Rattus norvegicus: one gene and its partner. The main gene of each other region encodes a partner of the protein of the gene in region 2 in a complex. Each region holds a gene or a part of one and is shown on either strand. Other genes may lie near its edges. The genes, in order: Hmox1 and Por.

Evidence for each region.
Region 1: the proteins of Por (region 2) and Hmox1 are in contact, whole or in part, in a crystal structure (PDB 3WKT), measured with the Rattus norvegicus proteins. Residues at the interface, in NP_113764.1 of Rattus norvegicus: Thr88, Thr177, Asp208, Asp209, Arg313, Arg514, Lys515, Gln517, Arg519, Leu520, Phe522, Lys523, His626, Lys665, Met667, Thr668, Lys669, Gly670, Tyr672; in NP_036712.1 of Rattus norvegicus: Asp12, Ser14, Glu15, Gln38, Ala75, Pro76, Glu81, Lys149, Ile150, Lys153, Ser171, Asp173, Asn174, Thr176, Lys177, Phe178, Lys179, Gln180, Leu181, Arg183, Ala184, Arg185, Asn187, Thr188.

What each region holds. Positions count from the first base shown.
Region 1 is NC_086037.1:13,478,120-13,480,593, reverse strand, and holds the end of Hmox1 (heme oxygenase 1), read right to left. Parts: intron 1,466-2,474; coding exon 1,332-1,465; 3' UTR 771-1,331; downstream 1-770.
Region 2 is NC_086030.1:26,632,927-26,637,431, reverse strand, and holds the start of Por (NADPH--cytochrome P450 reductase), read left to right. Parts: upstream 1-1,622; 5' UTR 1,623-1,683; intron 1,684-4,505. UniProt on the Homo sapiens protein: This enzyme is required for electron transfer from NADP to cytochrome P450 in microsomes. It can also provide electron transfer to heme oxygenase and cytochrome B5.

The DNA of each region.
Region 1 (2,474 bases), on a different chromosome or scaffold from region 2:
GTCCATTTCTTCCTCATAAAATATATAAGTCTCGGGGCTGAAGAGATAGATCAGCCAGTGAGTTGGAGCCCATGTAAAACAGGCATCGTGGTGTGTGCTCGTAAACCCAGCACTCTAAAAACAAAGTGTACTGACCAGGTGTGGTGGTACATGCCTTTAAACCCAGCACTTGGGAGGCAGAGGTAGGAGGATCTCAGTGAGTTCAAGGCTGGCCTTGTCTACATAGCAAGTTCCAGGCCTGTCAGGACTACGTAAGAGAGACCCTGTCTCAACACACACACCATCTGTCTCCCCACAGAAAACAAGGTGGACTGGTCAGGTGTGGTAGCATACATATATAATCCCAGCATGAAGGCAGAGGCAGGAAGACATCTGTGAGCTCAAGGCCAGCTGGTCTTCATAGTGAGTTCCTCCAACCAGGGCTTCCCTAGTGAGATCTTGTCTAACTAAAATAAAACCAAGGTGGACCGTTTCTAAAACACACCTGAGGTTGATCTCTGGCCTCCACATGCACACACACACACAAGCATCTGCGTACACACAAACACACACACACACAAGTATCTGCGTACACACAAACACATACCCCCACACCCACAGTCAATAAGATCTGCCCAAATGCTTGAAGCTCACTTCCAACTCTCAGACACAGTGGACCGTCAAAGCTACTGATGCCACCACCACCTGCCCTCCTCCTGCCAGACACTGAAGAGACAGGAGGAGCAGGGCCCTGTTCGTGGACGGCAGAGACATGAACGAACTTCCGGTGATTATTAGATAATGCCATTTATTATTTCACACAGAAGTTAGAGACCAAGGTTACAATTATTAAATACCACCCACCCCTCAAAAGACAGCCCTACTTGGTTAGAATAAAAAAACAATCGATACAACAAAAAATACCATTACACTGGTAGAACTGGGGAAATAACAAAAACAAGACAGAAACACAAGACAGAAAATCTCTGCACACTGATATCAAAGTGGCCATGACGCTGGGGGAAAGCAGTCATGGTCAGTCAACATGGACGCCGACTACCAAGGGCACTGGGCTCAGAACAGCCGCCTCTACCGACCACAGTTCTGGGGCTCTGTTGCAGGATTTGGGGCTGCTGGTTTCCAAGTTCAGGCCCCTGGCTGTGCTTTTGGTGAGGGAAATGTGCCAGGCATCTCCTTCCATTCCAGAGAGACAAAGGAAGACACAGGAAGGGGGCGAGGAACCCCAAAAGCTTTCTTAGAGGCCCAAGAAAAGAGAGCCAGGCAAGATTCTCCCCTGCAGAGAGAAGGCTACATGAGACAGAGTTCACAGCCTCTGGGGGCCAACACTGCATTTACATGGCATAAATTCCCACTGCCACGGTCGCCAACAGGAAACTGAGTGTGAGGACCCATCGCAGGAGCGGTGTCTGGGATGAACTAGTGCTGATCTGGGATTTTCCTCGGGGCGTCTCTGCAGAGGTAGTATCTGTAGGAGAAACACAGACAAGGTCAAACACACAGCCTGGGGTGGATGACACTGCACAGAGCAGAGGACACTCGGTGCCGTGTCTGCTACAGTTCCAGTCCAAGGCCAGGATTCTGCTACAGCTTGAACCACTAGCCACTGCTTAAACACCTTCAAAGATAGGAGCTCACCAACTCCCCCACGCTGTTCCTCCTGTGCTCCGCCAGGCCGCAGCAGGTCAAAGACTCCAGACCCAAACAGGTAACTAATTCTATCAGCACTGACCATATTTCAGCCCACCAGAAACAGTACCACTAATGACAAGGTGGCGGGTCCTGCCTCCCTTGGGAGAGCCTTGGGCAAAAGGTGGGCCCATTCAAGCAATCAAGCTTCACGTAACCTGCCCTGCTCAGTTTCAGTCACCCACTCCCTGGGCCATACTGTCCCAGGGGTGATAGGCTCAGGGAAGGCACATTTTCTGCCACTTTGGTCTTTTTAAGAACCCTTACTCCTGCTCCAAGGGTAGTGTATCAAGGCACAGGAAAAGGGCTGACACTCCAGTAATTACATGAACTCCGTCGTGTCTCCTGGAGGGTCAGCGCTAGAAATAGCTTCCCAAATCCTTGCCTCATATGGGGCCTGCATGGGAGCCTTGAGTGGGCCTCAAAAGGTAAACACACCCTAGATTTTTATGAAAGATTGAAGCAGGAGGATTGTTTGACTCCCAGGGTTTGAGACCAGCCTGGGTCATGCAGCATGGCTCTGCCTTGGGGGAAAAGAAGTGGGAGGCGGGATCTAAATGAGAGGATCTCTGTGCCAGTGACTTCTGAGGGCTTTATATGCCCCTCAGCCAACGAGCTACACAGCCCCCAACCTCCTGATTTTCTAATGTGGAGAAACTAAGGTAGAAAAGTCTTATAGCTTACCCACAGTCATACTACAGACTTACCCTGGGCTCTTTTGTCTGCACCCTATCTCTAATTTAAAACGTTCAGAATGGAGAAGAGTAAAGAAATTCCAGCTGGGCTAA
Region 2 (4,505 bases):
AAACATGGGGAAAAGGCCAGATATGGTAGAGCATGTTTCTAAGGAGTTCAAGGCCTGTCTTTTGTGCTACAAAAGGCTTGGTCTTGAATAGGAAAATAAAGCTATAATATATGAATGAATGATTATGTATTAATTAATAAATATAGAGAATGGTTTCTGAGAGAACTTGCTCACTGGTCCAAGAGGAATTTGTAGCAGAATTGCCTTCTTTTCTTCCTCCTCTTCTTCCTCTTACCCTTCCTCTTTCTCTTCTTCCTTTTTCTCCTCTTCCTCATTCTCTTCCTCCTCCTCTTCCTCTTCCTCCTCCTCTTCCTCCTCCTGCTCTTCTTCAGAGACAGTGTCTCACTATGTATGCAGCCTTGATTGGCCTAGAGTGCTCTATGTAGACCAGGCTGGCCCTGAACACTTAGAGATCCACCTGGTTCTGCCTCCCCAAGGCTGGGCCATGGCAGAATGTTAACAACTTATTTTAAATGCATTTATTTATTTGTGCATGTGCAAGGGGCACGCATGTGCCAGAAGACAATCAGAGGGAATCAGTTCTCTTCTTCCTTGTTTGTCCTGGGCATAGACCGAGCCAGGCTGAACGGCAAGCCCCTTTACTCAGAGAGCCATCTTGATGACTCAAGAACGTTTACTAATAATAGTAATAGCCATAAAGATAAAGCTGTTTAGAACAAAGGTTCTGCCCCCCAGACCTTATGCTCCTGTTACCCCAAACCTCCCGGGGGTTAGAGGTGGGATTATAACTCCAATACAACCGACTCTTTTCTTCTTTTGATTTTTTTTTTTTTTTGAGAGTTACTCGTAAGTAGCTAAGGCTGGCCTCAGACTCAGTACTTGAGGCTTATTCTCCTGTTTCAATCTTCCGAGCGTTGGGATGGAGAGGCATCAAGCATGACTGCTGGTAGCCAGATTTCCAAATACTATTGCCTTCGCCTTTCCCCTAGCCACTTCTCTTCCTTAAACAGGTTAGTTTTCAAATCTCAGTGGGTACCCCCGGGGACCAGCGGTGCCTCTATGGGCCTCACCATTTTCAGCTGACAAAAGACATGAGATCACAGGTGAGCTGAGGCCAGCAGCAGGTCGAAACACGAGGTGGCGCACAGCCACGACCCAGCATTGACCCAAGAGACCAAGCTAGGCTGCCAAGGGGCAAGGCAGGGTCACGCAAGCACAAACGTCGGTCAGAGCTGTGCAGGCGGGTAGCCAAAACTAGGATCCAAGCCCAGGAATGGGCGGAGCTTCTTTGAGAGGAGAGGGGGGCGTGGCCCAGAATCGGTGCTAGGCTTGGGGGCGGGGCTTCTCTGAGGAGAGAAGAGGGGCGTGGCCTAGAAACTGAGCATCTGAACTGGGCGCCGCCGGGCTGCGAGGCGTGCCTTTTCCGTGGAGCGGATGAAGGGCGTGACCTAGGAACTGAGAGCTGGGCTTAGGGGCGGGGCCCACCAGGGCTGTACCAACAGCAGGGATTTAGAAGGGGAGCAAAAGAAAGAGGGCCTGCCTCAAGAGCGCGCGCGCGGCTTTTGTGGGCGGGACCTCGGCGGTGTTAGCCACGCCTCACCCCCGCAGCCTTCTGGTCGGTGGTAGCGCCTCAGTGGTGCGGGCTTGCGTCCGGCCCCACTGCCTCAGAGACCTACAGGACCGCGGGCCGTGGGTGATCTGGTCGGTACCGGAGAGCGCAGGGTAAGTGAGGAATGGGAGACCTCAGGGGAGCTCCGCGATACCGGGTCACCTCTTGTCGCTAAGACTATCCGGTTTGTGACTCCCGGGAGGGTTTTTGGGCCGATCTCCGCGCGACTCACCCTTGCGGAAGGCGAGACTTCGCACCTCGGCCCTTCTCCCGTGGTGGCGTTTCCCACCACGACCTAACCTGTCGCGGGGCGTATAGAGGGTCGTTCTCCCCATAACTGCCTTCATCTGAGGGTCGGATCTTTGCATCTGCGGCCAAAGATTCGGTCCTCAGGACTCCTGTCAGGCAAAGCAACATTCCCTCTTCAAGCCTCAGTTTCCCCACCTGTGCGACGGGACTTTTGGGCAGCAGATTACGAAGACCACTCACTTTAGAATGAGCTCCATGAGGGCGAATAGGACCCGGAACAATCAGGTGGACTCAGTGGAGGTGTCACCCTGCGTGCATCCCTGAGGCAGTCCCCCTCCTGGGACAGTGCCTACGACACACCTTTGTCCCGTTCGCTTGAGCAGCAGTGACAAGCTGAGCTCTTGGGAGCCACTGGGTGAGAGGTTGTGGTCTGCTGAGCAGCAGGAGCAGGGCATCTTCCAGGGAACTTAACCTGGATTGGCTTTTTCCTTCTATCTCATTTTCTTTTCTCAAGACGATTCAGCATTGTGTAAGCTAGTGACCGGACCGGGACAGAGGATTTCAGGGACATTTCAGTGAAAGTGATGTGTGTTTGCTATGGACCCATCCAACTAAGTGGTTCGCTCTGAACCTGACCATGCTGCCGGAATAATGAAAACACAAAGGGAGACTCAACTGGTGGGGGTGGCCCTGAGTTCGAGTTTTACCACCTTGGCAGAACACATAAGTTCTTTGAGCCTCTGGTCTGTCAGCTTCCCGACCCTTAGGGGTGTGTGTGTGTGTGTGTGTGTGTGTGTGTGTGTGTGTGTGTGTGAGACAAGGTTTTGTATGGAGCCTAGGCTGGCCTGTACCTTTTTTTTTTGTAGCCCTTGAACAGATTGATTCTGTCTCAGCCTCCTGAGTACAGAAATTGTAAGTGTGTGCCACCTGGCCTGACTAGGGTTGTGACATTTTGAGGACAAGAGATAATCCTGGAGCTGTTCCAGTACTTAGGAGGTTGAAGCAGGAGGATTGCTTGAGTTCAAGGTCAGCAAGTGCCAAGTCAGGGCTGCGTATTGAGACTACTATATCAGTAAAACTGAGGAGAGGAAAGAGGCTGTGATCCTGGCTAGTGGTATTGAGAACTGGGCTGGTCTTTGTAAGCCAAGTGGTTATCTAACCCTGGAGATTTGTTCTTATTACACAGGGCAGTAATTCCTGAAGCTGTCTGGAACTTTGGTTCATTAACCACACATAAACTCTTCCCTCACAGATCCCCCCTGAATGTTGATCTCTGACTTGGCTGCTAGTGGAAAAAACAGCTCAGAAAACCCAAATACTAAAACCAGTGAACACAGAATGGTCCACCTTGCTTTTGTTGTTATTCCAGTGGCTCCTTTAAGAAGTTCACATTTTCTTTGGAAAGTGAGTGGCTCTTAACTTTCATACCCTCTGATACTGGAATTGGTTTCATTGAACACGTTGCTCAATCATTGTCAGAAAGTGGCCAGAAAACAGGCCCACACTGGAGAGGATGGAATATTATCTTATTGCCCTCACATCTGGCATTTGAGAAAGGAAGAGGTAGGTGTAGACTATAGAAGATTCCAGAGATGGACTTTGGTACCTGGAAGTCACAGGCTTGTGGTAGCCAGGACGCCTCAAGTGAAGACATCCTGATAGTAGGAGTTTATAAATGAACATCCCCGAGAGATGTCTGTGGTCTGATAAACCTAAAATTGTAGGCCTGTTCATTCTGGGTGGTTAACTCCTTGAAAGTCAGGATCTTCATTCGTTAGGAAAGTCTCTGTGTACTTAGCAGAGAGTCTGTTTGAGAAGAACTTCCTCCCTGCCAGGAGCCAAACATTTACTTACTAAGTCCATGAGGCATTTCAACATTGCAATATTAACTCTGGTTGTTCTGAGATGAGGGTCTCAGGTGTCCCGGGCTGACCTTGAATTCCCAATCCTCCTGCCTCTGCCTCCTAAGTGCTAGGACTAGAGCCACCTGCATACAGAATCTAGTTCTTAGGGATGTCCCCTCTTTGTGAGAGCTAACCCAGTTGTCATCCTCTTTGTCATTGGAGAGGCCTGCTGTGTAAGCACTTGCCACATCAGGCCAGGCCTGTGGGCCTCATCTCAGTGAGATGTAACTTTCCTTAGTTTATTTCTTCATTGATTTTTATACGGGTACCTATTGTCTGTTGAGTACATTCCTTCATAGGCCCACCCTCGGGACTCTGTTCTTCCTTCTCCCCTTTACATTATAAACTTTGCTAGACATGTTGAACAACCCACTCAAGAGCTCCTCTCAAAAGAAGAAAACCAAAAAGATACAATCTCACAAAGCACCACAGAGTACACATACCATCTTGTATGTCTTACTACATATTTAATGTTTGTTTCTTTGTAAAAGAAACAGATAATTTGTATCTTAGAGACAGAAAATACCTTTTCATTGGGTTTTTTTGTTTGTTTTGTTTTTAATTTGTTTTTGTGACAAGGTCTTGCTAAGTAGCCCTGGCTGGCCCAGAACTACTTATAGAACCTAGTCTGGCCTCAAATCCTCCTTCCTCAGCCATGTGTTGGGTGTACAGGGGTAGGCTCCAGCTTGCCAGATCCTCACTCTCATTTCTTAGACATGCGCTATAGCGTAGAACTTGTCTTTCCATACACTTCTGTTATTTGGCATCTGATAGACATCTGG